Linked DNA regions of Notamacropus eugenii. The protein of the gene in region 3 purifies or fractionates together with the protein of the main gene of each other region. This does not show direct contact. Links are inferred from orthologs where the notes say so. Each region holds a gene or a part of one and is shown on either strand. Other genes may lie near its edges. The genes, in order: LAMP2, LAMP1, TMEM192 and ACP2.

What was found.
Region 1: the proteins of TMEM192 (region 3) and LAMP2 purify together in Homo sapiens (affinity purification with western blotting; 5 studies listed by BioGRID and IntAct, with this or other methods). This does not show direct contact. The link is inferred for Notamacropus eugenii from reciprocal best matches to the Homo sapiens genes TMEM192 and LAMP2.
Region 2: the proteins of TMEM192 (region 3) and LAMP1 purify together in Homo sapiens (affinity purification with mass spectrometry; 3 studies listed by BioGRID and IntAct, with this or other methods). This does not show direct contact. The link is inferred for Notamacropus eugenii from reciprocal best matches to the Homo sapiens genes TMEM192 and LAMP1.
Region 4: the proteins of TMEM192 (region 3) and ACP2 purify together in Homo sapiens (affinity purification with mass spectrometry; 3 studies listed by BioGRID and IntAct, with this or other methods). This does not show direct contact. The link is inferred for Notamacropus eugenii from reciprocal best matches to the Homo sapiens genes TMEM192 and ACP2.

Annotation. Positions count from the first base shown.
Region 1 is NC_092879.1:43,863,974-43,871,761, forward strand, and holds the start of LAMP2 (lysosome-associated membrane glycoprotein 2), read right to left. Parts: upstream 3,001-7,788; 5' UTR 2,892-3,000; coding exon 2,816-2,891; intron 1-2,815. UniProt on the Homo sapiens protein: Lysosomal membrane glycoprotein which plays an important role in lysosome biogenesis, lysosomal pH regulation and autophagy.
Region 2 is NC_092877.1:207,901,111-207,908,600, forward strand, and holds the start of LAMP1 (lysosome-associated membrane glycoprotein 1), read right to left. Parts: upstream 3,008-7,490; 5' UTR 2,608-3,007; coding exon 2,553-2,607; intron 1-2,552. UniProt on the Homo sapiens protein: Lysosomal membrane glycoprotein which plays an important role in lysosome biogenesis, lysosomal pH regulation, autophagy and cholesterol homeostasis.
Region 3 is NC_092877.1:167,078,646-167,086,239, reverse strand, and holds the start of TMEM192 (transmembrane protein 192), read left to right. Parts: upstream 1-4,579; 5' UTR 4,580-4,786; coding exon 4,787-4,813; intron 4,814-6,087; exon of another isoform or gene 6,088-6,102; coding exon of another isoform or gene 6,103-6,123; intron 6,124-7,355; coding exon 7,356-7,502; intron 7,503-7,594.
Region 4 is NC_092877.1:3,721,586-3,728,674, forward strand, and holds the start of ACP2 (lysosomal acid phosphatase), read left to right. Parts: upstream 1-4,081; 5' UTR 4,082-4,134; coding exon 4,135-4,269; intron 4,270-4,672; coding exon 4,673-4,807; intron 4,808-5,177; coding exon 5,178-5,264; intron 5,265-5,836; coding exon 5,837-5,989; intron 5,990-6,085; coding exon 6,086-6,184; intron 6,185-6,274; coding exon 6,275-6,364; intron 6,365-6,785; coding exon 6,786-6,918; intron 6,919-7,089.

The DNA.
Region 1 (7,788 bases), on a different chromosome or scaffold from region 3:
TTTCCCACCTCCATACTCCAGGACAGCAAGCAAACTGTAACCCATACAACTATTCCAACATTGTCCTTTTTATTTTCTAATTAGAAAAAAAAGAGGAGTAGGCAAAGACGAAGAAACAGTAAAGGGAGAGGAGCTTTTAAAAACATTTAAAAATCAAATTACAATATGAATTTCTCAAAAGATATCTTTCAGAAATATAAGTCTTTCATAGTTTCTAGAGCAGGGATGGGGAACCTGCAGCCTCGAGGCTACATGTGGCTCTCTAGGTCCCATCTCTGCTCTAGAGACTATAGAAAAACTAGAAATGGAGGCAGAAGAAGATCCTCTGTAGCAAATCTCTACTGGGTTATTCTGATTTACTCCATGGTACCAACTCCTCAAAGGCAACTTTGCTGCTAACAATTGTTCTTTTGCCCCAAAGCCTAGGATTCTTGCCCCAAGCCGACGTTAACTTTGATATATGATGAGAAATCATAAAGGATCTTTGACTCTACTGACATGTGATTCCCCATCTGATTAATCTTCAATCAAAAGAGAGAAAGTTTCTCCATGAGAGAATTAACTAGTGCCCTTTCACTCACTGTCAGGACTGTACCCACATCCCAGGGACTGACACATTTGTTAGGTGTTTTATGATTGAAGCTTGAATAGCAGTATGATTTTAAAAATGCAGAGTTTAAAAGTCTTTTTTTTTTTTCAATCAAATATTTGTTCATTCTGAGAAACAGCAAAAGAAAGAAACCCACACCATGCGAAGAGTCCTCCATTTGGTCAACCTCCAGGGCAATCTACTTCAAGACAGCTTTGACTCCCTCAGATAGCATACCATTTCATATCAGTACAATCTTTAATCATTTGAATATAAGATTATGAAAGGAAGGTTTTGCCCATGTCAGAGGCGCCAGGAACCAAGGTCTAGAAGTATAATCTATTGCAATATCGCAAAGTGGATCCACAGGAAGCAGGGTGGGAGGGAAGAAAGGGCAGGATAGCTTTATTATAAGGAATTTATGGGGTGGGGGTGGGGGACCCAGCACAAATAAAAGAATGCTTATATATGAAGGCACAATCTTGGCAAAAGTTTAGTTATACTGGGATGATTTATGTTGCTTTGTCTCACTTATTGAAGTTAAAATGATTCATCAACAAAAAAAAAAGCTAATAAAAAATTTTTAAACCTTACAAACACATACAAGATATGAGGATTAAATGATTACTTGACTAAATAATAAACAAGTCATTTCAAATGCCTATGTTCCAAAAGGAATTCAAGCAAATCATTGGAAAAGAAATTCACTTTATGAAGACCATAAAGTACTCATTCATGTCCAAAGTCTTTCTAGAAAATTCATCATGATAATTCTTAGCTATTGTCATACCTAAGAATTGATATGAGGACCTACATATCAGTGCCTACATATTCATTAATCCCTCTAACTGCATATTCCTAAGGAAACATCTATGACCACCCCAGTATTCAACTAGATGGGAGTATATGTCTCCCATCCAAATTGGCTTTACAGAGATCTTTGTCAGTGAGCATTTTTGTGAAGTTCTGAATTCAAAGTCCTTGGAACTGCTCATCTAAAACAGTTTAAATTTCATAGAACTTGGATGCTCCATCCTAAGGCTTACAGGAGAGTTTAGAAAGTGAGGGGAAAGAAGAGATTGGGACTTTTCTGGGGGCAAATGAAGAGAGGGCTAAACAGGTTGAACAACAAGATTAATTCTTCAAAAAAAAGATTAATTCTTCTACCAGTAAAATACATATACAAAATTTATTATGGCAACTTTGTTTTTTTTCCCCTCCAACCCTCATTTAAAAACCAACTTACACCCTCCTCTATATGAGGCTGTCTGTGCTAAGTTAGTTATGGAATTCTGGAATGCTTTCCTCATAAAGTATCCCTGGGAGATAATAATAGCATGAGGGGGGGGGAGGGTGAAAAGAGACAGATAGACTGAGAACCCAGGTAGCAGATAGGGTCCCTAAATTCAACTCAAGTTAGGGGAAACCACCTCAACTGAGTTCAAGGTGGAGTGTTTCCTTTCCTAGCCACTGAAGAATTCACTTCACACTAAAGTCTCCTCAGTTTCAGGATCTGGGTTCAAATTGGTCCTAGTGTTGTGACCACCATACCATTTTTCCACCAGGTCCAAGTCCCCCTTGAATTAACATCTCACTCATACTTTGTTCACTCCTTGGCCCCCTAACCCCTCCTCCCCCATTCTACCTACATCATTCTTCAGTCCCCTGATACCTTCCATTCCGATTTTGGTCATTCCTCTGCTTCCCCCCAGACACACACATCAAGGTTAGTCCAAAGCCCCCAGCCTCATCTCTCTCCTAGGTCACCACTCAATTGTACACCTCTCTCCCTCCCCCCTCCCTTCCATTCCCATCTAGGTCACTCCTATGATCGCGTCCCCCCCTTCACCCTGGTCACTCTTTAAGCCACCCAGTAGCCCCCTATCCCATGAGGTCACTCCTTACCCACCCTCACCACCGAGGTTACTCTTTCACGACAGCCCCTCCCCTCTCACCATAGTTACTCGGCCCCCCCCCCAACCCACCCCCATTCTTATTCACTCTTCAGTAGCCGCCCTCCCTCATCCCACAAGCTCCTTTTCTCCCCTGTTCCAAAGGGCCAGGTCGCTCCCCCCACCCCGGGTTCCCTCTGGTCCCGGTCCCGGCCCCAGCCCCCCTCCCCAAGCACTATCCTCGCTGTCGAGCAACCGCGCCTCGGCCTCGGACCCAGAGCCAGGGTAAGCGCTGGGCCCGGTCCCCACAAACTCCTAGCCAGCCGCCACTCACCCAGCAAGAGGCAAAGCAAAGCAAAGGCCGAACCCCGGTTGAGAGGGGAGAGGGGAAGGCGGCAGGTGCGCGACATGGTCCCGGCCCCGGGGAGGCGGCAGCAGCAACCAAACTCCCCGCAGCGCAGCGTCGTATGGTCGAAAGCCAGGAGGCAGCCGGGCTATAAGACAGAGATGCTCGACCCCGGCTCTTATGACGAAGTAGGGCGAGGCTCTACCGTCGACCAATCAGCAGGCAGGAGAACAGTGGTGGGTGGGGCTAAGGCGGGGCTTAGACTACGGGGCGGGGCTTAGGCTGTGGGTGGGCTGAGCTAGGGAGGGAGGGGAGGCCCTGAGGGGGGGGGGGGCAGGGAGACCGTGGAGAGCGCCCTCTAGCGTCTAGACAGCAGACCGGCAGTTGGACTGCAGGTCCGCTGCGCCAGTGTAAATGGCGGGGGAGAGGCAGAGGGGCGGGGGGCGGCAGGAAGAGGGAGGGCCGGAAAGAAAGACTGGAGCCAGGAGGGGGAATGATCGAAGGATGGATTAATTTACCACCACCTCGCCTTTGTGTCCCGCACCTAGTCTAGTGCCTGGTACCTGGTAGCCGCTTAATAAATGTGTATTGTGAATGATTAACTGTGGGAGGCAAGAGGAAGAGGGGTGCCTTAGTGTAGTGAGTTCCACAACCCAGCTCTAGTGGAAATCTTTGATGGGTCTTAGGTCTCCGTTTCCTCTCTTGCTCCAGAGTCTAATTAGACTAGCGCTTACCTTCAAATGGCCTCCTCCCACCAGCTCCATCTATGCCTCTTTAGGAGTGTAGTGGAAAAAGCAGTGAACTTTAGAGGCAGAAAACCTGGGTTCAAATTTGAGCTCTTCTAGTTGCTAGCTGTTAACCCTTGGGCCAATCACCTCCCCTCCCTGGGCCTCAGTTTCCTCAGCTGTCAAATGAAGAGGTTGGACCATATGACCTCTGAGGTCCCTTCAGCTCTAGACCTAGGGTCCCAGGTGTGACCTTGGACCAATCACTTCAACTCTCCAGGCCTCAGTTACTCATCATCTGTAAAGGATGGGGCCAGACTGATGAGCTCCAAGGAGGCTTGCAGCTCTAGATCAAACGAGACAATATTTGTAAAGCACTCAGCACAGTGCCTGGCACAAAGTAGGCACTTCATAAGGGCTTCTTCCCATCCTCCTCCCTTTACTGTTGGATAGGTTTGGCCAGTTCCCACATTTTTTATTTTATTTTTTTGATTGGTGGGTTGGTAGATTTTTTCTTTATATCATAGTCATTTTCTTACATATTTCTCCTCCCCACCCTGCGTTGAGCCCTCCCTTGCAACAAAGAAGAGCACTTAAACAAAACTCACAAAGCAACCACAAACTTGTACAATACCCTCTCTGGAGGAGAGAAGTGTCTTTCATCTTCTGTTGCCTTGAATCAAAATTATTCGTTGCAATTGTTTATATCAAAGATACAGAGATAGAAAGACCTCAGAGAGCATCTAGTCCAGTCTCCTGATGAGGAAACTGAGGCCAGGAGAAAAGTGACTTACCTCAGCTTACACAAATAGTTAAGTATCCGAGGTGAGATTTGAACCCAGGTTCTCTGACACAAAAGCCAGTGCTCTCTATTCCGTAGCCCAGATGTGCTCATCGAGGAACACTTTTTTCCTCTCCTCATATGCAATGTCTATATGATTGTGTAGTAGAGTTATCTGGGTTCATATTTGAGCATCACTAATGAACTGTGAACCCACAGGAAAAGAATTGTGTCATTTATCTCTATATCTCCTTCAGAGCCCAGTAGCATGCCCTATACTTGATACAAACTCAATAAATGTTTGTTGACTGGGGGAATCGATCAATAAAATCCACTGGTAGGCACTTAATATGTGGCAAAGCAGGTCTTCTTTCAGGTCTACTGGATTTTGTGCTGTCTATTAGTGTGCGCATGTTCCATGCGCCGATGGTGAGTGGAATCATCTTTGCAGATGTTTTCATACATTTTGTACATTTTTTTGTGTTTTGACTGCATAGTGGGATTCCCTGCCTGCCACGGTAATCAGGCGAGGGTTGGATAAGCAGATAATGTTTAAGGCACCTTTTGTAGCCACTTCTTCACACCAGGAGGTGAGCAGTGTGATCCTTAAAAGGCTGCTCAGACATCCAGGGAGCTGCCGAGTTCCATGGCTGCTTCCAGTGAGAAACAACCCTGTGGCCTGGGCCATCTGTGTGCAGGGTTGTGATTACAGCTCCCAGTGTATCCACATCTGCTGCTTTATCACTTGCCTGTCGCCACAGGACTTTGAAGCATAATAGTGAAATGGTATGGGTGATGTCTTTTGATTAGTGCGTAAATTGGATTTAAGTGAGGCAGAATTGCACGGTAATCAGCCTCACTCTCTCCAGTGTCAAGATGACTGGCCATGGCTCAGGATGCAGTGGACGACCTTGTTGTCTTCAGCGTCTAACCAAGCTCTAAGGGCTCCACATCACCTGCTTCATCTGCCTTCATGGCCGTTGGAACAAACTGTTCTCATTCACCCACTCCACCAGAGGGAGTATTCACACGCTTGGGGTAGACACCCCACCTAACTCACTAATGGGTTTGAGAACCCTTAATTACCCCCAACCTGGTTTGACCCATCTGCCAAAACAGTTTACCTGTGTGTGGCTGCTGCGCGTGCTGCAGCTTCTTGGAGCCACAGGTGAGAGTTAGGTGGAACAGGTGAACACCAAAGGTGGAAAGAGCCCCAGAAAGGGTTCGGCAGCCATCACACCAAGGTACTGGTCCTCCCTGAACACACCCTACATCCCACTGGAGAATATAACAAAAGGGAAAATGCAGTTCCTGCTCTCTGAAAGCTCGAAGTCTAATGGGGGGGAGAATGTGCAAACAGCTGAGTACAAACAAGCTACAGATAGGATTAATCAGAGGTAATGTTCAGGTAGTACCTAGATGGCACTACAGTGGATGGGGAACTGGAGTCAACAAGACCCTAAGTTCAAATCCTGCCCCAGGCACTTACTAGCTGAGATACCATGGGCAAGTCATTAACCTCTGTCTGCCTTAGTTTCCTCAACTGTAAAATGGGGATAATAATAGTACTTACCTCCTAGGGTTGTTATGAAGATCAAAAGAGATAAGGATTATGAAGTACTTAGTACCATGCCTGACATGTTATATAACATATATAAAATGTTAATTATTATTAATGATTACTATTATGATCTCAGAAGAATATAGGATTCTTATAGAAGGTAAGATTTTAGCTGGGACTTGAGGAGCTGAGATGAGGAGGGAGAATGTTTTAGGCATGAAGGACAATCAGAGAGAATGTACAGAATCCAGAAATTGAATGTCATATACAAGATACAACAAGGAGGCCGATGCCACTGTTCGTAGGGATAAGTAAAATTAAGAAGACTGGGAAGGGCGGAGGTGGGGGGATGGGAGACGTAGGAACAGGTTGTGAAGAGCTTTGTAAAATAAACAGAGGATTTTATATTTGGACCTGGAAGTTATAAGGAATCACTGGAGTTTACTGAATGGGGGGAGGTGAAACCTCTACTTTAAATTAAATTGTCAGCTGAGATGGACTTGAAGCTGGGAGACCAATATATGCTATTGAAGTAGTCCAAGTGTGAGGTGTTGTTTTAAGTTGTTGTTAAGTAATTTTTCAGCCATGTCCTTCTTTTCATGACCCCATGTGGGGTTTTCTTGGCAGAGATACTGGTGAGGTTTGTCATTTCCTTCTCCAGCTCATTTTACAGATGAGGAAATTGAGGTAAACAGAGTGAAGTGACTTACCCAAGGTCACACAGCTAGTAAGTGTTTGAAGTCAGATTTGAACTCAGGAAGTTGAGCAGTCCTGACTAGAGGCCCAGCCCTCTATCCACTGCAGCACCACCTAGCAGAGTATTAATTTACTATTAATTCTAGCTGAGGAGTGGCTAGAACAACAAAACTGGAATAGCTCTTAGAAACCATTGGTCCCCAACCCTCACTTTATGAAAGAGGCAACTGAGGCCCAGAATGGAAAAAATTGTACCCAACCTAAGTGCCATTTAGGCAGTTCAATAAATGACTAGAGCACGGAGTGTAGAATCAGAAAGAGATGAGTTCAAATTCTATTGCAGATAATTGCTAGCTATATAATCCTGGGCAAGTCACTGTATTCCAGATTCCTCAGCAGTGAAAGGAGGAGGCTAGACTCAGTCAATTCATATAAATCTCCCCATGTTTCTCTTGAGTTCTTCATATCTGTCATTTCTTACTGTACAACAATATTCTATTACATTCAAATGCCATTGGTTTTTCAAGCATGCCCCAATCATTGGGCTCTCATATTTTATTTCTAGTCCACAAGAAGTGCTGCTGTTATTGTTTTGTTAGATATTGGGCCTTTGTTTCTGTCTGACTACTTTGGAGTATGAGCCAGTAGTGAGATCTGAGAATCAAAGGGTATGGGCCAGGATGGGGAACCTGCAGCCTCTAGGCTACATGTGGCCTTCTAGGTCCTCAGCCTTTTGACTGAGTCCAAGTTTGACAGAACAAATCCAAACAGGGATTTGTTCTGCGAAATTTGGATTCAAAGGGCCACCCTTAAGGACCTAGAAGGCCGCATGTGGCCTCAAGGCCACAGATTCCTCACCCCAGAATGGGAATTTTTAGTAACTTTCCTGAAATAATTTCAAATTGAAATCCAAGTTCACAGCTGCACCAAGAATGTCTTGATGGCTCTATCTTCCCACAGTCCCTCCAATGTTGACTGTTCCCATTGTCTGACATCTTTGTCAGTCTTCCCAGGCAAGGCAAAACCTCAGAGTTGATGGAATATGTTTTTGTGTGATCATTTAGAATTTATAATTCTTTTTTGGAAATCCCTTTATTTGATTATTTGACCAGTATACCAAATACATATATATACATGACACGGTGGGTGAGAAATTAGATAAATATAATGTATGAAACTGACGTGTATATAATGTACA
Region 2 (7,490 bases), about 41 Mb from region 3:
AGTTACTTTCCTCCTCTGAACCATAATGAATCCCTGATTTTGGTGCAGGTAGGTATTTCTTCCCAACAATTTTTTCCCATCTCTCTAGGAGCCCATCCTCCTAGCATCTACCCAATTGGCCCTAGGCCTTTCTGTAAGCTTAATATTTTTTCCAAGGGTTGCTGGATCTTTTTGCCTCAAGATATAAACCATCTCTCCACCACTCGCTCCTTTTCCTGTCAAGTTTGTCCTCCATGATAAACTAAGAGATTGTTGAGAAACTAACAGGCAGGAAAGCGAGTCTCTTCCCCAGTCTGTGAAGCAACAGGAAGAGAAGTGAGCCACTAAGTTCATCTCGTACTTTAATTTTTAAATGCTGACCTAGCTGAAATCACCTATTTCATTTCTGCGTGGCTTGCTCAAAACCACACACTGCAAGTAAGTAGAATATCCAAAATTACATAACTGCTTGCTCCGTAAATGTATTTGAGGCAGAAAACATCGTAAGAGAAACGTGCTTCCATAAATTTGTTGTTAATGGTAGATGTCCTCCTAACCTTCACAATACATATAGAGTGTATACATTAAATGAAATCTACATTGACACAATTCTGAAAATTACATGCACTTCAGGTCTAAATCCTAAAACTATTTCTAGCAGAAAAACTGATTCAAGTCTTCAGGCCTTTCAATTTAAATTTAAATAAAAATGTACCCTCTCAACAAGACCTAGTCCATTAGATTTCTCTTAGGGAGAAAAAAAAACAATCATTTATAACAAAATTATTTGAATTGGCTAGTCTTCCAACTGAAAGTAAACGCATGCATAAGCTATCTAAGTACTCAGTAAAATGCAACGCGCCCAGTGGATGCATGAAAGGTAAAGATGGAAAAACTATAATAAACCAATGAAGGTATTATAAACTTGTGGTAGATTATGACTTCTCTGTCATTTAAGGAAGGGTCAATTAGTTCTTAGTCCACTCAAAAAATTGTCTTAAGATTAGAAATGAAAATAGTCAGCAGAGGAACAGAATTTTTCCCCCTTTAATGTAGTCTAAATGAGATTTGGTTTTTTTTTGCTGGGCTCCATTTCATTTAAATCAAATTAATTTTATTCTAGAAATTAATTTTAAACATAAGGTGTGAAAATAAGACTTAGCCTTTGCACAAAACAAGCAGGTATGTCATTTTGGGACACACTTAACAGGAAAAGGAGTGAGTGGTTGAGAGATGGATTATATCTTGAGGGGAAAGTAACAGTTCAGCTCCCATGATCAACGTAGCATCTTATGGTCTTTACTTGGAAATAAATACAATATCTTCCATTTTGGGGGTGGGATGAATAAGACTTGCTGATCTCCACTCCATTTCCAAGAGGCTGCCCGGGTTCTCGGTATAACCCAAGGTCTCCCTTCTGATTTCAGCCCAACAATAAGCTACCACGGCCCGGCTCTCCCCCCATGTTCGCGTAGGCTGGTCTGTTCGCCGGCACGCACCCCGCACGCACTCCGCACCCCGCACGGCGGGCGCCGCGCTGCTGACTGCTCCAGCACCTCCCCGCAGCTCCTTCAGGCGGGTCACATGCCAGGCTTTCCAGGTCATCTCTGGGGCCCAGCACAGGCAGAGCCAAGTTCTTTCGCTCCACAGGTGGCCGGCACGGGCGGACGGGCACGCGCATCCCCACACCGAACACATCCCAACCCCGGCTTTGCTCTACCCAAGTGGGGGCGGGGAGCGCGGGGACCCCCCCGGGACGAGCCCACGGGCCTCTCCATCACCCCGCCCCTAACAAGGAGCGCCCGGCCCCACACCCCCCAGGCCCGGGTCTCATGACCGCCAGGCCGCCGCGGGGCCACACCGGGCTCCCAGTCTGCGTTCTCTCCCGGGAGGCCCGAAATCTCGAGATTCCCAAACCCACATTCATTCGGCCCGCGCCGAATTCTCAGAAGCGAAGGGGGTGCGACACCCAAGGAGCGGCTCCAAGGCGCCTCTCCCCGGGGAGTCGCCCGAGTCGCACCCGGGCTGGGGCCGCCTCCCGGCGAGCCCGGCGAGCGCGCAGCGTCCCAGCGCCAGGACGCGCAGGCGGGGCCCGCGGGTCTCGTCCCCTCCGGGCCGGCGGACGAGGCCGGCGTGGCCGGCTGTTTTAAAGCCCCGGTGACCCGCCGAGAGGAGAAACAGGAGGCGAGGACTTTAAAAAGTTTCGCGTCAGTTTAAACCCTCGTCTTCCAACGTTCTTCGTGGCTGGCCGGCAGAGGCCGGACCCGAGGCCCCGCTCCGTGGGGCCTGCGGGCCTGGCGTGGATCGCCACTACTGGGGGGATTCGGGGGTCACCGAATACCCGTCTGCGCCGAAAGGCCGTCTCTAGGGGGCCCCTCCACCCCCCAACGCCCCGATCCGCCGCAGCTCCCGCCGGCCGGAGCCAGCCGAGGCCGACGCGGGCCCGGAGGGCCGGGGAGAGAGCCAGGCCCAGCGCAGGGGCCTCCGTCTGCACATCCCACCCCCCACCCCAGGCCTGCGCCGGTCCTCTCTCTCGCCGAGGCCCCGGCCCCTCCCCGCCGCCTCCATCTTACCGAGAAGCAGCAGGAGCAGCCGCTGGGGCGTCCGGGCGCCACCGGGGCCAGCCATGGGTGCGGGGAGGAGGGACGGACGGACGGACGGACGACCTCGGGGGAGGGGGCGCGCCGCGCTCGGGGCACGAGCCGGGCGGCGGTTGGCAGTGACGACGGGGGCGGCGGCGAGGGGCACCCCGACTTGCTAACCGCCGAGGAGGGGCGCGCTGGCGGGAGGGTGGAAGGGAAGGAAGTGGCGGATGGAGGAAGAGACGAGAGAGAAAGGGGATTAAGGGTAGAGCGGGGCAAGTGACGTCCCAGCCAGCGAGAGAGGAAGCCCCTGCCGCTCCAGCAACCGCAGCTCAAGGAGACCCCGGCGGGCAGCTTGGCCGATCATGTGACCGCCGCAGCGAACCCGCCCCCCATCCCCCACGCTGTCACGTGAGCCCCTGCGGAGAAGGCGGGGGAGGTGGTGGAGAACTCTCGCGAGATGACGTGTTCTGTGGGGTCGGGCGAGACCGGGCTAGTTTGCGCTGTAAAGCTCGAGGCCCCTGGAGCGTCTTCGTTGTTCTCGCCCAGAGCTTCCCGCTTTATCTAGCGCTCTCGCTCCTTTCCCCGGGGTGGGGGTGGGGGTGAGGAAGGGCTGGGCTGAACTCCCGGGGTGCGGGAGTGACTCCTGCTGGCGCGGTAGGTAGGGCAGGCGCCCAGTCCCGCGAGCCCCCCGGAGGACGGCCTCCAGCTTGACCTTCCGGGGGTCGCGGCCTGGTCCCTGGAGCCGACACCGAGCGCAGGGAGGGACGTGACGGGCAGAGGCAGACTGGGAAAACTCGGGGAAAGTTGGGCAGGAAAAAGGAAAGGCCGGAGAAAGGGACAGGCCTGCGGGGAGGCGCGGAATGGGGAAGTGGAAACTCTGACGGAGCGGCTCGGCTTTTCCGAGGAGGAGGCCTGGCCCCGGTGATCTCCGGTCCGATCGCCGCCCTGACCGCGGGCTCTTAGGGATGGGAGAGGGGACCGGGCCGCCGGCACGTAATGGGGGCTTTAGGGGGAACTGTTTACTGCGTGGTGCATCAGCCCCGGGGTGGGGGAGGGTGAGAAGTGAAAACAAGCACGGATTAAGCGCCTGCTGTGTGTTAGGCTCTGTCTTATTCGCCGGGGAGTACTAAAAAATGGGGGGAAGAAGAGGCCCCTGGTCTGTGGCGCCCCGGTGCCGGCGGAGGACACGTTGTGCGAAACGGCGGCGTGCCTTCGAGGTGGAAGCCGTGGAAGTGATGGAAGTGATCCCAGAGAGCAGGCCAGGACGGGAGGGGAAGGCCTCGGAGAAAGATGGCGGAGGTGTGAAACCGTGGGTGGTCCTCGTGGAGAGCCTGCAAGGATGAGGTTGGGAGGGGCTTGGGATGTCAAAGAGAACATCCTGCAGGATTCAGGACCCCCTGCGGGGCCTGGGCTACAACTAGAGAAACAGTGCCTACCTGGAGGAGCCCAAGATCATGTAGGGAGGAGCTTGGATGAACTGTCAAGGAAAGAAGGGATTCAGAGTCAGAGGTGAGGAGGCAGACTAGGGAGGGCCTGTGTGCAGAGGCCGAGAGATGAAGCCTCATGCCCCACGGTGGCTGGTGTGGCTAAAGTGAAGTGTCTGTAAGACGTGACTGATAGCTAACAAGGAAGGAAGTGTGGTTTGGAGCTAGCTTTTGAAGGTTTTAAAAAGACAAACAGGAGCTTATATTTGATCCCAGAGGGTACAGGGTGCCACTGAAGTTTATTGGGAGAGGGAGTGGTGGTCAGGCCTGGGCCTCAGAAAAATCACTTTGGCAGCTGCCTAGAGGAGGTGGAGACTTGAGACAGGAACATCAGTTAGGAGGCTTTTTTCATAGCCCATACTGGAGGTGGTAAACTGCTGGACTAGGGTATGATCCTTCAATGGGGAAAAAAGGGGACAAGTTCAAGAGAAGCAGTGATAGAACATAAGCTCCCTGAGGGCAGGAGATGTTATATTTTTGTCTTTGGCTCCCCAAAACTTAACACAGTACCTGGCACATAGTAGGTACTTAATAAATGGATGTCCAAAACAGAATTCATTATCTTTCTTCAAAATCCTTCTGCCCTTCAGGCTCCAAACCTAGGAGTGAGTCATCCTCATCTCACTGTTTCTCAGCCCCCATACCCCAGCTGTGGCCAAAGCCTGTCGATTTCACCCTGGCAACATCTCTGCGGTAATCTGTCTTCTGACATTGCCACCATGCCAGTGCAGGCTCTTTGGGTCTGCCTGTCGGAAGTCTCTTCCTTGCTCCCAATCCATCATTAAACCTGTAAAGAGATTTTCCTAAAGTGCAGGTTTGACCATGTCACACATACTACCTCATACCCCACCCTCCCCAATAAACTGCAATGACTTCCTATCACTACTCTTGTTGTTACTGGACTCTTTATGACCCTGTGGAACATATCTTCCATGGGATTTTCTAGGCAAAGATCAGTGGTTACCTTTTCCTTCCACAGTGGATTAAGGCAAACAAAAGTTAAGTGACTTGTCAAGTTACTTGCATAGGTAGTAAGTGAAAGAAGTCAGATTAGAGCTCAGGTCTTTTCTAAGCCCACCACTTTAACCTTTGAACCATCCCTATCACTACCAGGATCAAATACAAAATCCTTTAATTGGTATTCAAAAATCTTTACAATCTAACCTTCTCCTATCTTTCCAGTCTTTTTACGCCTTACTCTCCGTCACATGCTACACGATCCAGTAACACTGGCTTCTTTACTCTTGATGACTCTGAGATTGCAAACTTGGGTCACCAGAAAGATCGTGGTCTCCACAGTATTTAGTCATTGCCTACTGTGTTTAGTCTTGTGGTAGGAGAGAGCTGCAGGGAGAGAGCATGGAGTAGTGGATAGAGAACTGGTTTCAAAGCCAGGAAGACGTGGGTTCAAGTCCCACCTCCGAGTGTGTGACCCTTCATGGGTCACTTGATCCTTCACTGTCTCTAGCATAAATTGTAAACCATAAATTATCCAAAGAAGCTCCTGGTCTAGTCCAAAAAAATAATAATTCCCTTGTGAAGAACAGGAGTAATGCCAACATTAAAATAACAATATAGCACTGTGCTATTTTGAGGTGCAAATAACTGGAGAGCCGTAATGCTGTACTAAGTACTAGGAATACAAATTCAAAAGGCAGACAGCCTCTGACCTCATGGAGCTTACATGTCCCAAACTGAACTCATTAATCTCCCCCTCCCCACCTCCGCCCCATTCTTCTCCTTTTCCTAACATCTCTATTTACCACCATCAGTATGTTGTGGTTTTGGTTTCATGATGTGTTGTGGTGGAATCAAAGAATTCAGAGTCAGACCACGTCTAATCCAGGTATAGGCATTTATTTGAGATTGACACCTTTCATGAAGCAGACTCAGTTTCAAGAGAAACCAGCAACTTCAGAGAAAGCAAGATGGATTTTTATAGGGTAAAGATGCAATTACATAACAGAAATTATGAATATTCGAAAGGCAGGAGGGTTTTGTTAAGAGATTAGATAATAGGGGAGGGGTCCCAACCACCGTGGAATGTGTATGTGATTACCCACAATGCATACAGAAAGATCCATTTGGAATATATGTACATATATATGATAATGATATTGTAATAAACCTCTCTACGTCATAAATTCACTCAAGGTAAGTTCTTTACTACTACTGTCCAGGTACCTACTTAGGGAAAGTTCCTTCTATTGTCTTGGGGTCCGTATCCTGCTTGGGCATCTTGGTTGGTGCTGTTTTCTGATTAGCCGAATGTTATGATCCTGTCTGAGACTAGACGGATGGGGATGTGGTTGAGTGCACAGACACATCTGCTGTTTTCTGTGGGGAATATGAAGAATGGGTCTGGGGGCAGTGGCTAGATAGAGGAAGTGGCTGGGAACCCATCCCATGAACACACATATGCAGTTTCTGTGAGAAATAACGAGTTCATGGACACACCTGTTGTTCTAGTGAGCAGTGAGGCATATATGAAGGAGCTAGGATATTGAGTTTGTCAGGGGTGGTGAGTAGCTAGGTAGGTACAGTGGGCCTGCTGTTCAGTGGGGCCTTTAAAGAAATGAAAATATTGAGGCTGAGGGCAGCTTTATTAGGATCCCATCAATCCCAGTCACCAGGACTCAAAGTCTATAGGTCACTACTCCCCAACCCTCCCCCTTCACCACCCTGCTTGTAGTCATTATAAAGGCTTGTCGATTTTGCTTAGACTGTTGCAATACTCTTCTGATTGGTCTTCTGTCATTCACAGCCCTTCATCACCTCCTCCACCTCACCCTTTCCAATGTCCTTACACCTTGCACCACCACATCCAAATGTGTTCTGGGATCCAGTGAAACTAGCCTGTTTGGTACCTCAAATAAGACACTCATCTCCCAAATCCTGGCATTTTATTGGAATGCTTTCCCTCTTCATCTCTACTTCGTGGCTTACCTGGCTTCTTTCAAGCTGAAGTTAAAGTCCCCCCTTCCGCAGGAAGACTGTCCTGATGTCTTTTATTTCCAGTGCTTGATTATCTCCAGCGTAGCCTGTCCATAACTTTGCTTGTACGTAGTTGCTCGCATGTTGTCCCCCTCATTAGACTGAGCTTCCTTTGTATCCCTAGTTTGTTTCCCAACTATGCTGTAGTTGACACCGAATAAACGTTTGCTGAGTCACCCTAAAACCCCCCAGACTGCCGTATGTCCCTATCTCATGTTTATGAAGTTGATTTTTTAATGCCTGGCCTAAACACTTATCTTGTCTGTGTTGTTTATCCTATTAGAATGTTAATTTATAGAGGTCAAGCACTACCTCCCTTCACATTTATTTGTTCAATGGGTGTTTACTCTGTATCACATACTATGCTAGGTGGTAAGGATATTAAGGCAAAAATATCCTAAGTGCCTATTCTCAAGGAGCTTCCATTCTTTGGGGGGAAACAGCACAT
Region 3 (7,594 bases):
TAAGAAGCCCCATCTTCCTGCACGTGTTGTGGTCTTCCAGTAACTTTACTGGAGAGGCTACCTGTCCATTTGTAAAGATTAATAAAGGCTTTCCTGATTTCACAACAGTTATTGTTCTTTATTTAAGGTGAGCATGTTTCTCACTGTTGGGGTTTTGTTAAATGGGCTCACCTCTAACAACACCTACAGAAAGAAATATGGAGTCTGAATGCAGACTGAAGCATACATACTGTTTCCTCTTTTCTTTTTTTGGTTTATTCTTGCTTGTGACTTTTCCCCTTAGTTCTAATTCTTCTTTACCACATGACTAATATGGAAATATGTTTAATATGATTGTACAGATATATCCTCTATCAGATTGCATACTGTCTTGGAAAGGGGGGAGCAGAGGCAGAAGAAGAAAATTTAAAATTCAAAATCGTATAGAAGTGAATGCTGAAAACTAAAAATAAAATTTTAAAAAAAATTTGGTGAAGTAAAATGAAGTAAAAGGACAGATCAATCAATAAATCAACAACAATGTCCAACCATTAATTACAGAGCACTTATGATTAAATATGCTACCATCTAAAAGCAACTGAAACAATTAAGTTGCATGTTGGCCAGAGTTAGCTCTGAAATATAAATGGGTATGCACCTCCCTCCCTTGAAGTACTATGGATGTAGTATATTGCATGCATTGTTGACTTGACTGATGTCAGTTAATTTTGAGGAACTATTTTTTTTGTTATTCTTAACTATAAAGGGATGGATCCCCAAGCAGGGAAACAGGGAAAGGCCATATTGGGAAGCAAATATGATATTAAGAAGCAAAATATATCAATAATATTTGAAGAGTGAAAAAAGATGCCCTTTCTTCATCTGTTTTTCTTTGTGTGATTTGTTATATTGTCAGCTACAAGGCAATAGGCTCTTTGAAGCCATTCTAGATGCTCTGGGTCCTGGTAGACACTCTGAGAGTTTCAAGATCTCCTATCTCAGGACTCAGGGGACAGAATAAGACATACTTTTTGGTTATGGATAATGAAGCAATTTGTTTTGCTCAACTATATAAATATTTGTTAGGAGGATTTTGTTTTTCTTTTCTTTTTTTCCCCAATGTGAGGGACGGAAGAAGTAGGAGAAAGTAGATTTTTGTTAACCAAAAAAGCAATTAAAATTTACGACACTTTTCAAGAAATTGTAGGTCATGCTTACTAACTGTGTGATCCTAGGCAAATCACTTAACCTACTTGCCTCAGTTTCCTCAACTATAAAACAGGAACAATAATAGCAACTACCTGGAAGGATTGTAGTGAGAATCAAATAAGACAGTATTTGTAAAAAAGTGCTTAGCACAATGCCTGGCACACCATGGGCACTATATAAATGTTTGTTTTCTTCTTTTAGAACAAAGAGGATAAATCTTGGGGGAAATTCACAGGTGACTGCTGGGGGAGGGGAGAGATACCAGATGAATTAGAGGAAAAGTAAGAAGAAATAAGGGAACTAGAAGATGGAATGGTGGCAGAAGATAAGGGATTAAGGAAGTTTTAAAACAGGAAGGAAGAAAATTAAGACCTTTGAATTTGATTACAAAGAGACCTGTGGCAGGCAACCTAAGACAGATCTGTTGGTGGGAAGCAGAAGCCCCTTGGCTGTCAAAAACTGAGTGGGTGGTGAGACTATGAAAGCATCAGGGGTAGTCTACTTGTCTGAGACTCGGGTTGTTTAATGATGGTAAAGATGAGCAATTTTGAAAGGTCTGAGAACTCTGATCAAGCAAACCAACCACAATTCTGAAGGATTGATAAATAAGAATGCCACACCTCTGGAAGAAAAGACAATGGAATCCACTGTAAAATGAAATATACAATTTCTATATGTGGCAAATGTAGGAATTTGTTTTCTTTGGCTATATGTATTTATTAAAAGGGTTTTATTTTTAATGAATTTTTGTTATCTATCATTAGTTATGTAACAATATGATGATAAATATTTATATTTATTATCATCATAATTTTCCCCACTACCCTTCCTGCTGCTCCTCCCAGAAAGTCATCCAATATAATATTTTTAAAGAAAAAAAAATCATCATAACTTTTAACATATCCCCAAAAGTCTGAAATGTGTACAATGTACAACATGTGGGCCTCTTACTTCTACAGAAGAGTGAGAGTATCTTCTTACATGTCTTCTTTTAAGCCATGCTTATTCCAATTTTGCGACTCACTTTTTGATCTTTTGTGTGGTTGGTCTTTCCATTTACTGTTGTAGTCATTTCTCAGCTCTTTCCTCTGCATAAATCCATGTAGATTTCTTAGAATATATTCCATTACATTCATGTACCACAATTGGTTTAGATATCAATGGGCATCTACTTTGATTCCATTTCTTTGCTCTCCAAAAAGTGCTTCTATAAATATTTTGGTATATATTTGAACTTATCAATGGCCTACTTGGTATATAATCTCTGGATCAAAAGGTAAGAATATTTTAGTTACTTTATTTACATAATTCCAAACTGTTTTCCAAAATGTTTTTTTTTCAACAGGGAAGAGAGAAAATTGATTTTCGTCCATTTGAAAAAAAAAATTTTTTTAACAGATAAGTGTTGTTTGGAAGGGAAGTTGCAGTCAGGGAAACTGGAGCCAAGATGGTAGCAACAGGGTCCCATGAAGGATCTTTCAATATACTCAAGCAAGTAGAGGATAACTAGGGAATCTAAATAAAGCAGACCTGAGGAGACAGATCATCCCAAAAAAATAAGGAAAGGGATGTTGCTCTGAAAACCACATATAATCTACAAAACTCACCCAACTTTCTTATGAAGAAGCTGGATTGCCCCAAGGACAAACAATCACTTTACCTCCTTTGGCAAGGACTTAGACTCATTCATTCAAAATATTTCTCAATCCAAGCCCATCATTCTTCATTCCATAGAAGAAGGAAGCATTTAACTAGGGAGTCTTGTGAGGAGTTCCTTAAATACTCTGTTATTGGTGAGTTCTTCTTCACTCCATGAACGTGTGTGTATACACTCCACCCAGGCTACAAAGTGTGGTCTCTTGGAAACAGTAGTGGCTGTAGTGGCTATTTACCATCAGTGTGACTGGAGCACCATCTTCTCTGACTTGTCTTCATTAGGAAAGTGAGAAGAAGAAGAATACCTACATGAGACGTACATAAAGCACTTATAAACCATTAATTTACTGTTGGGTTGTTCGGGACAGGCCCTGCATTCAGGTTATTAATTGCTTTGTCCTGTAACATGGGTCCAGCCACCACCTCACCCCCCCCACCCCCACCCCCCAGCCCCCGCAGGGATTTGGGCTTTAAATAATCATCAACAACTCTTTTAATGACCATAATGATGGAGATGCTACGCTTTTTTTTTTAAGATGTATTTCAGAATCACAGGCTATTAGAAATGGATTAACTCACACTTATAAAGTGCCTTAAAAAACAGCTAACATTTAAATAGGCCTTTAAGTATATTATCTCATTTGATTCTCACAATAATACTGTTACTATCACCCCCATTTTTCAGATGAGGAAGATGAGGTTAAGACCTGTTAGGTGACTTTCCCAGGGTCACATGGGTAGTATCCAAGCAAAATTAGAATTTAGTTTTTCCTGATTCTGAAGTCCAACACATTTCCCCAATAACTGAACCGGATGGCCTGAGGTCCTTTCCAATTCCCGACCGGAATTCTATGATTTTGGCTACATGGTTACTTAGTATTGTCCTTATTTAACAGGCGATGAAGCTTAGGCTCAGAGATTAGCGGGATGGTTATTACAAATGTCCGTTTTTAACAGGTGATAAAACTGCAGTTCAGAGGGTGACTTCAGAACTCGTCCAAGTTTGCAGAGCTAAGGGTACTCCGTCTGCTAGAAGGGAGGTACTGGGGCTCTCCACTCCTTTTGTGTCGTGGGCCCCCCGGCGGCCTGGTGAGGCCTACACGCCCCTTTTCTGAATACTGTAATGCTTTGAAATACTTACAAACAAAGGGATACTGAACTAGTTAACCAAAACATTAAAAATAAATTAGCGGCACTGCACGTTAACCACTGATCTCGAGGCCAAACCCTTCCTTTTCCCGATGAGAACACCGAGGCCTGAGACACTGCGTCAGGGGCAATGGAAGCTCGGTTCCAGCCGCAGGTCTCCCTCGGGCGGGTCGCTGGACTCTCGGGGCCTCGGTTTCCCCACCTGTAAGCTGAAAGGGCCAGAGCTGCCCTCTGCGGCTCAGCTCTCTACCCAGCACTCTCGAGTCCTCCTAGGGGGCACGCGCAGCCAGGGCCGGCGGACGCCGGAAATCACGCCCAGACAACAGCTCCGAGAGACGCGGACATCGCGCCGCCGAGAGCCTGGGAATGCAGCCTACCGTGCCGCAGCCTGTCTGAGTCCAGAACCTTGAAAAGGAGAACGCGGGGTGCCAAAGTCACGGTCCAGATAGGAGAGAAGGGAGACCCGCAGCAGCTCTGCTGCGAACGTCCCCCCCCTCCCTCCGCAGGCCCGCAGCGTCGGGGAGAAGCCTCTCGGGCTCCGCCAATGAGGGCCTTGGAGGAGGAGCTCGGCCCCGCCCACGGAGGCGGGGCCTGAGGCGGCGCGGGCCGGCCCGAAAGCAGGGGAGCCTGCTCGGGGAGGCGGGCGGGGTACTGAGGGTTCCTGGCCCCCGCCTCTCCCCGCCTAACCCCACCTTCCCCCACCTTCCCCCACCTTCCCGGAGCAGCCGCGTGGACGCGCAGGTACAGACCGCGAGCCCCGGCGGCGGGGGCTTCGCCTTCGGGAGCCCGGGAAATGGCTGCGGGGACCAGGCTGGAGGACGTGAGTGCGCGCGGGGCGGGCGCGGCTAGGGGTTCCCCGCGTTGCGGGGCGGGGCCTGGAGCCCCAAAGCTGCCTTCCTCCCCCCTCCCCACCCCCTCGAGCGCTCCAGCCCGCGCGTGTCTCGCGGAAGGGGGCTCGGGGCGGCGACCACCTGGCACGGTGGAGAGGCAGCTCCGGGAGAGAGGCGCCGCCGCCGGGGGGACCGGGGAGGACCCATCTGGGGACGGGGCGGGGCCGTAGGGCCGACCCCACACCACCCCCAGCTCCTCGCTTCCGGTCCCGGAACTCGGCTTTTTCACGTGACTGCGCGCTCGACCTGCCGGCTCGAAGCGGGTTTGGGTCCCCGGAGCCCGGGCTGGGGAGCTGGAGCTGAGGCCACCGCGCGAAGCGCAGCTTTCCAAATAAACGGAGGTTACCCCGCCCCGCCCTGTGAGAAGGCAGGCCACGTGATCTTGGTTACCCACGTGAAGTCCTGTTAGCCTTGGGGGAGGGGAGCAAGAAGCGGCGTTTCATTCTGCGCTCCAAGCTCCCTTTCTGGAGGTTGGATCCCGACTTGTTTGCAATGGTCGTGGAGCACCGTTTAGATCAGTATAGCCGAGTCTTACAGCGTTCTCCTGGTTCTGCCCGCTTTGCCTCACTGCATAGAGATCTCCCCGGGTTTTCTGAAAGCCACTCCCCCTTGGCATTTCCTATGACGCAATGCCAAATTTCTTACCCTCTTCTAGGCTGCAGGTTGCTCTTCTGTACAATGAGGAACGCACACTGCAATTCATTCTCCTTGGGGCGACATGAAAGCTGGAGGAGAAGGAGCTGGGCTCCGTTATCCGCTTTGAATTGTAGAGTCTTTTATTTCTTCTGGTTTTGTGAACCAATGGGTTCGGGCCCAAGGAGCGTAGCCAAAGTAAAACTGCTTCTTTCTGTTCCTCAAAATCCTCTGTCCCTTCTCCCCCCCAAAAAAACCCACCAACATTTCCTGGGGATCATTACCCTTTTCACATCTGTCTCTTGGTTGGCCTTCTCTTTCTTTAGAACACTGATTGCTCCTGGAAAAGGAACACAAACACTGTTTTCCAGTTCCTCTCTGGGCACCATCTGGGAAAGCTTTACATGAATCTTGCTGCCCTTGGGGTAGGCACATGTGTCACTCTGACTCATTGCTTGGCAACATGCCCCCTGGATCTTTGCACCTTTACCCATTTTCACTGTGCCCAGGACTATAGGCTACACATACTTCCTGAATGAGGAGCGAGACATTTTACTCTTTGTTTATTCCTTGATAGGTGAGTGAGATGAATACCCTCTTGTCCCAGGTAATGTTTTTATCTCAGTGCATATTCACTAATGCTGTAAGAATGTATACTATCTCCTATTTTTGTGTAATTGTCTGGAAATGATATTTTTTAACGGAGGATTAATAAACTTTTTTAAAAAAGAAATAATATTGGGGGGTAAAGTGAGGAGAACGAAAACGTATTAACCTTACCTAGCAGAGTTCCAACCAGATGCCTAAAAAACTCGGAGGCAGAGTTGCATTAAACGAGATGACCCCAAAGTTTTAGTACAATAAAACGAGTAAACTTTAAAACTGTAGTAAGACTTTTGGGGATATTGTGTATGATCAGTTGATCAGTTAGTCAACAAACATTTATTAAACAATTACTGTATACCAGTAATAGAGCTCTAAGCTGAAGCCTTTCACATCCATTATCTCATTTGTGCCTCACAGGGTAAGTATTTGAGATAAGTATTTTCAGTCATTATCTCTTTTATAAATGTGGAAATTGAGGACCTGAAGTTTTGTAAGTGACTTGTTCACACTAATAAGTATTAGAGGTGAAATTTGAGCCCTGGTCTTTCTGATTATAGACCTTGTCCTCTGTTCAGTCTTCTCTTCCTATTTAGAGTGGTAAGGCTTAAAAAAAAATTGCAAATGCATACTTGAAAAATTGTATTTATCATTTAACATTTAAAAAAAAATTCCCCACCCCCCAGTTATAGTACAAACAATTTTTAACATTTTGTAAATTAAAGTTTTGAGTTCCAAATTCTATCCCTCCCTCCCATTTTGTAGAGATATCTAAACTTGTGATGTCATCACCACTAGGAGCTTCTAGTGTGGAACCTTCTCACACAGATGCAAATAAGTTCATCATCTGTAGCTTAATCTTAGAAAGTTGCCTGGCACCCTGAGAAGTTAAAGAACTTTCCCATGGTTATATACCTAATACATGTAAGACTTGAACCCAGATTTTCCTGAGCCCATGGCTCTGTTAAACCACAGTACTTCTCTTACATTATTACTCTTACATTATTGTACTTTTTCATTTGTTTATTCTTTGACTGCCAGTTCGATGGTAAGCCTTTTGAGGATGAGAAAATTCCTTTTCCTTCCAGTTGAAACTGTTGGATTTTTCAGGAAAAATATTCTTAGGATGGAGTAAGCCTCTTAATGTATAAAACACCTTTTCAAACTTCATGTTATATAACTAGTTTTGTGAATATCATCTAAGAATGTACTCATTTTTTATTTCCCTCCCTTTAGGGTTCATTGGATCTTACACAAAGTTTAGAAGATGACCCTCTTCTAGAAGCTCAGCTTCTGCCTCAGCATCCCTTGCATATTCATTTCAGACCTAGATTCCATGCCCTTCCTACTGTCATCATAGCAAATCTCCTCTTGCTAATACATGTAAGTCTGTGGGGACTTTTTTTATCTTTGGGGTTTAACGGGAGAAAAAGTGTTTAGTTCACCAAGGATTCCAGTAGAGACAAAGCAGTAAC
Region 4 (7,089 bases), about 160 Mb from region 3:
TGTGTATATCTATATTTCTACAAATACAGTGTTGGCCTATGTGTGCATGCTCACTTCCTCTTTTTACGGACCACGTGCCTGAGGCCTGGAACTGGCTCATACATCAGAAGGCAGGATTTGAACCCAGCCCCACGGGGTGACTAGTGAGGACAGGCTGATGGAGGAGCCAGGCAGGATGCTCCAGGACAGCTGTGGGAGAGAGAAGCCGGAGGTTACTCCCGGCCAGTCACCCCTGCCTCCACCCCTCTGCTTACTGCCTCCTTCCTGTTTTGCTGTGAATTCAGTTCCCATGGGTCCTACACTTTAACATGATTGGGCAGGGGGACTGGACACTGGTGCAGAGGGACAGAAAGAAGAGGGTGCTGGGAAGAGGTAAATTCTGACTTAGAGAAAGCGGAGATTTGAAGAGTGGTGGGCGGTTTGGGAAGGAAAAAGGGGCAAATGAGGCTTAAGGAAAAACAGAAAGGGAAGGGAGGAGGAAGGGCAGGGATGGTGATGAGAACAGAGGGAGAGACAGCCCAGAGAGAAGGCTGGCCTATGTGACCAAATTTGCCCCCAGAGGAGTTTTCACATGACCAGAAGCCCTTGTGACCCCCTTCCCTCCCCAAGGTCCTGCCCACAGTCTTCCGTTCAGCCTTGTGACCAGGGCTCCCATCTGGAGGGGACACCCCAGCCTCTTGCTCCCCTGAATCATCAACCCAAACTTCCCAGTCCTGGGTCCCCTGTTCCCACCACACCCCAGCAGCTCTAGAAGAGAAAGAAACCTAAATGTGCTTCGCACAGAGAGATAGACTTTGCTCTAAACCCTCCATCCCCCACCCTCTCTCCTGGCCCCATCTGAGGCCTCCTCCTTTCCTCAGGCTTTCTGATTCTGCCTGAAACGCCCAGAGCTGGTCCAATCCAATTCAGCAGATTTGTTAAAAATGACAAAACGTCATTGATACCTCTGGGTTTTCATCCCATCCACCAATCTCTCTCTTCCAGAGCACAGTCTTCCATCCTCCAGCACAAAGAATAAGAAAGAGGGAGGAGGCCTAACTTTCTCTACCACGGTCCACGCCTAGGATCTCCCAACCCCACCAGAAGAGGGGAAGGGGCTGCCTTGTATGTCTTCTTGGGGGCCAAGTCAACAAGGCCCATGTGCCATGCACTATTCTGAGTGCTGGAGGAACAAAGACTAAAATGAATCAGTCCCTGCCCTCAGTGAACTTCCATTTGGGAGGATGGGGCTACATTCTTCTAGTATCTCTTTTCCTCCCTTTCTCCATATTGGAATCTTTTGGCAAGGTTTTTCTGCTAGATTTGGGGGGATCTTAACCTGGTTTGTGCCATACACCCTTTCGGTAGTCTAAGTGAAACCTTTTTAAAAGTGTAAAATAAAGTACATTGGATTACAGAAGAAGCCAATTATATGCAGTTATCAAAACAGTTGGAAAAAAAAGTTCAAGGACCTCAGGTTGAAAACCCTTGTGCTCCAGGTTTGAAACCTCATCAAACATCTCTCTTTGGCCATTCTGGGCCCCCAGGCCTTTTCCTCACAAGTACTGTTGAACTCAGCAGGCTTGATCCTGTCCACACTGCTACAGAATATGCCAAACATTGTCCCATCGTGTAAACCCCAAACAACTTCCACCCCAGGACCGAGACCAGAACCAGCTCTGCTAGGCAAACATCACGGGACAAAAATCTCTCTTCTGGGGAGTCTGCTCCAAGGAATTCACAAACTTCCCAGGGCTATAGGAGGGAGAGAGTTAAAGGTGGAAGAGACTTCAGAGGTCACCATCCCCATTTTACAGATGAAGTGGGGAAGTGATTTGTCCACAGCTAATAAGTAGAAGAGCTGAGATGGAGCTCCTTCCACTGGGCCTAGCTGCTGGGTGAAAGGCAACACCCTTAGGCAACGCCTCAGCAGAAGTACCAGATTCTGGCACTGATTCCTCCCCGGAGGTGGCCCTGGCTAGTAAGGGGAGCCTCCGCCGAGCCCCAGGTCCCAGCCTGCAAACCCTGGCCCCGTGGCACAGTCCTGTCAACCTACAGGGGCCCCTACACCTGGGGAGGCGCTTTTTCTCTTTGACACCAATACCTGAGTCCTTCAAAATTCAGAAAGAAATATCCTAACATCGCATCAGAGCCCCTGACTAAGCCTGGGGGACAGCTCTCATCTTTACTTTGCAGATGAGGCCACTGAGGTTCAGAAAGTTTGTGATTTCCCCAGGGCCTCCAACTACAAAGGATCTGAGGGAGGGTTGAGAACCAGTTCAGGCCTCAGTTCATCTTACCACCGCCTCTCTGTGCATCTGGGCCTCCCCTAGAGACCCGCTGCCCCCCAAGAAACAAATCAGGGACGATGATGCTAGAATCCAAGGGTGCGGGGTGCCCCCTCTCTTCTGTTTCGTGACGGGTGGGGTACCTCAAGGGCTTACTCTCGGGGCTCAGTGGCAGAGTCACTGACCACTGGAAGATGGGGCCCTGTTTGCAGTGAGGGGGTACTGAGAAATCTGTGCTGGGGCCAGTCACCAGCCAGGCTGGGCACTTCCCAGGGCACTGTGCCAGGAGCCCCAGGCCCCAGGTACCCAGGCCCCCAGGCGGGGCTCCAGGCCCCAGGTACCCAGGCCCCCAGGCGGGGCTCCAGGCCCCAGGTACCCAGGCCCCCAGGCGGGGCTCCAGGCCCCAGGTACCCAGGCCCCAGGCCGGGCTCCAGGCCTCAGGCCCCAGGTACCCAGGCCTCAGGCGGGGCTCCAGGCCCCAGGCCGGGCTCCAGGCCTCCAGGCCCCAGGTACCCAGGCCCCAGGCCTCAGGCGGGGCTCCAGGCCCCAGGCCCCAGGTACCCAGGCCCTCAGGCGGGGCTCCAGGCCCCAAGTACCCAGGCCCCCAGGCAGGGCTCCAGGCCCCAGGTACCCAGGCCCCAGGCCGGGCTCCAGGCCCCAGGCTCCCAGGCCCCAGGTACCCAGGCCCTCAGGCGGGGCTCCAGGCCCCAAGTACCCAGGCCCCAGGCCGGGCTCCAGGCCTCAGGCCCCAGGTACCCAGGCCTCAGGCGGGGCTCCAGGCTCCAGGCCGGGCTCCAGGCCTCCAGGCCCCAGGTACCCAGGCCCCAGGCCTCAGGCGGGGCTCCAGGCCCCAGGCCCCAGGTACCCAGGCCTCAGGCGGGGCTCCAGGCCCCAAGTACCCAGGCCCCCAGGCAGGGCTCCAGGCCCCAGGTACCCAGGCCCCAGGCCGGGCTCCAGGCCCCAGGCTCCCAGGCCCCAGGTACCCAGGCCCTCAGGCGGGGCTCCAGGCCCCAAGTACCCAGGCCCCAGGCCGGGCTCCAGGCCTCAGGCCCCAGGTACCCAGGCCTCAGGCGGGGCTCCAGGCTCCAGGCCGGGCTCCAGGCCTCCAGGCCCCAGGTACCCAGGCCCCAGGCCTCAGGCGGGGCTCCAGGCCCCAGGCCCCAGGTACCCAGGCCTCAGGCGGGGCTCCAGGCCCCAAGTACCCAGCCCCCAGGCGGGGCTCCAGGCCCCAGGTACCCAGGCCTCAGGCGGGGCTCCAGGCCCCAGGCTCCCAGGCCCCAGGTACCCAGGCCTCAGGCGGGGCTCCAGGCCCCAGGCCGGGCTCCAGGCCTCCAGGCCCCAGGTACCCAGGCCCCCGGGCCACGTGGTAGAAAAGGCGGCTCTCGCCCTCCAGGGGACAACTGGCCTGGAAGGGCTCGAAGCGCTTCGCCACCACGCCCTCTTCCAGGCCCAGCCCTTATTTAACAAACGAGGGCATTAAGGCACGGGGCTGGGCTCGGCGGGGGAGGGGGAGTGGGGGGCCCATGCAGCTAATCCATCGCGCAGGGGCACGGGGGCGGGATTGGAACCGGGAATCGACCTAGCTCCTTCCGCTCCGCCCCGCCCCCAGGGGGCGCTGTCCTCGGCGGCCCCTCCTCCAGCCGGAGGCCTCGCGCCCTTTCCTACGCCCCTCCACCCCGCCCCCCAGGCCCGCGGCCCGCTGGTCAATTTCCCTCCTCCTTCCTCTGACCCGGGCTTCCTTCTCCCTCAACAAAGATGGCTGCGCGGGCGCTTCCTGTGGGAGCTCCGGGCCGCGCGTCCGGGCCGCTTCGGCGACTCCCCGGCTAAGGTTCCGGGCTCGCGGGCCCCTCAGTAGGCGGCGGCGGCGATGGCGGGTGGACAGTCCGGCAGCCGCGGCTGGGGATCTCCGCCGCCGCTGCTCCTGGCCAGAGGCCTGGGCCTCCTGCTGCTGCTGCTGCCGAGGCCGCCCGCTCAGGCCCGGAGTCTCCGCTTCGTGATTTTGGTGCTGAAGTCGGGGGGCGCAGAGCCGGGGTCTCCGCGGGGTCGAGGGGCTGTGGGCTCGGGGTGGGAGGGGGGCTTCGAGGCTAGGGATCGTCAGGTCGGAGTCGGGGGTGTCTTGGGCTGGGGAAGAGTGGGGGGCCGGGGAGGAGGCTCCGGCGTTCCGGGCGGACCTCTGCGTAAGCAAGGGGCTCGCTCTGGGCGCAGGGGGTCTCCGGGTAAGGATCGATATTGGAGGCCGGGGGGGGAGCCGGGCCGGAGCGAGGGAGGAGGCTTTCGGGGCGTCACCCCCCGCCCCCCCGTGACGGGGGCCACCCCAGGACCTTGCTCTGCGGGGAGGGCGGGGGGGTTCGGGTAAAGGGGCGCCGGGAGTGAGGGGCTACGGCGCGGTTCTCCTTCTTCCTCAGCTGTACCGACACGGAGACAGGTCCCCCGTCAAGGCCTACCCCAAGGACCCCTATCAGGAGGGAGAGTGGCCCCAGGGCTTTGGCCAGCTGACCAAGGTCTGTCCCGGCGCCCCGACCCTGGGACTCTCACGAGTGGTTCGTTAAATGACATTGATTTCCGTGGGAACCCGTGTATTGTGTTCTATGCGCTCAGAAAGGTTCCGCAGAGGGGTCTCTAGGTTCCCCCAAAGTGCCCCGGGCATGTCGTGGACGCCAAAAATAAGGAAATGGCTAGGACCCTAGGTGCTAGGTCCAGCTGCCTGCAGAGCAGAGCTGGAGGATCTGCGACCCCTCCTCCTGACCAGCTTAGATCAGGGGCACCCTTATCCAGCTCCCCCCACCCATCTGGCTGGACCGACTGACTAGGGGTGCTGATCCACTCAGTACCAGTCCTTCCTTGGGCAGAATTAGAGACCAGCAGAGTCTAAGGTTCCCCGGCTTGACCAGCCCTTGGGTCTGCCTGCAGGAGGGGATGCTCCAGCACTGGGAGCTGGGCCAGGCTTTACGGCGGCGCTACCAGGGCTTCCTCAATGCCTCCTACCACCGGGAAGAGGTGAGCCTAGGGATCCAGACAGGGAGGTTCTGGGAGGGCTTCTGCCTCTCTCTGCTTGGCACCACCTGGGGGAGCTTTTCCAGTACAAGGAGGAGAGAGCTCTCTAGGCTCACTGCTCCATTCCGTCCTTGAGGGGAGGGAGCATTTCCATCCATGTGGCTCCAGACCAGGAAGGAAAGTTGCCAAGCACCACCACCTCTGAGAAGGAAACCTCTGCACTGGGAAGGTTAATCAGAGCCACTTGATCTGCTCTCAGGTGCCTTGGGGGATTCCCCCTGCCTCCCTGGCCACAGCTGGTGGTTGTGAGCCAAGGGCTAGGTAAACCACAAGCCCTAAGGAAATCTGAGTTGTGAGTGCAGCTGGTCGAGGGACCGTACCCTAACGACAGCTTCTACCCCAGGTTCTCCAGTGTTGCTCCACTCTCCCAAATTCTATTTTTTCCGGTCTGCTCCTCTTATCACAGTAGTCCAAGGCCGGAGGAGTGCCTACAGCTGCTGGGAGGTCTGCTGTCCCAAGGGCCAAAGTCCTTTCCCAGCCACTCTGACAGAGGTTTGCTCACTTTTCCTTGGCAGGTTTACATTCGGAGCACAGACTTTGACCGCACCCTTATGAGTGCTGAGGCCAACCTGGCTGGACTCTTCCCTGTTGAGGGGGCACAGTCTTTTAATCCAAATATCACATGGCAGCCTATCCCTGTCCATACAGTCCCTGAGGCCCAGGATAAGGTGAGGCTGACTGTCCCTTCACCTATAAGGACACTCCCTCCTCCTCATTTCACCAGTCACTGATCCTTGCCCTGCTTTGCTCCCCTCTGGCTACAGCTGCTGAAGTTCCCACTGGGCCCTTGTCCTCGGTTTGAGCAGCTACAGAATGAGACTCGCCAGACCCCTGAATACCAAAATGAGACCGCTAAGAATGCTGTAAGTGGGGTTGAAGGTGGCAGGAAGTCATGATGCCATCAGCCCACAGGAAACAGGGTGACCATGACCACCTCTGGTTTACCTTCACAGCAATTTCTGGAGATGGTCGCTAATGAGACAGGTGTCACAGACCTGACACTAGAGACAGCCTGGAACATCTATGACACTCTTTTCTGTGAGGTGTGCAGACCACAGACCCCAGGGTTCCTCCTCCAGGGGCCTGGGTCATTAATCACAGGCCCTACGCAAGGGAAGAGGCCTCCCACCACCTACTGAGGCATATTAGGGGAGCGGACACAACTTCCCCTCCCAGGGCTGAAAGAGAACCTCCAAATGGGAAATGGTTTCCTAACTGTCAGCAGTTCTTATGTGACTCCATATTGCTGAGTCAGACTGTCTGTATGGAAGCTTCCTCTTCTTGTCTGCCCCACCACCCAATCCCCAGACATACTGGCTGCCACCCTGGTCCCCGGGTCTCATCTCTCTCCTCTTTCCCCTCCCCTCCCACATGAGCGCATGTACTCACATAGCCATTTGCCCATTTGGGATCCCTGGGCTCCTTCTAACCCACCTTGCATTAACCTGCCCATATGGTATACAGCAAACTCATGACCTGCCCTTACCGACCTGGGCCTCGCCCCAGACTATGCAGCGCCTTAGGCAGCTCAAGGATCTCAGTTTCCGGTTCCTTTTTGGGATGTACCAGCCAACAGAGAAGGCCCGGCTTCAGGGAGGTGAGTGACAAGGAAGGCACACCACTCTCCTCAGAATCCCTCCAAAGCTCCCCTGGTGTCTCTGGCTTCTGTGCCCAGACTCATCTGCCAGCACTTGTCATATGTAAGTCCCATCTTCACAGAGCTGCTCATCTTTCCCATCCATTTCTTCATCTCTGAAGAGCGAGTTAG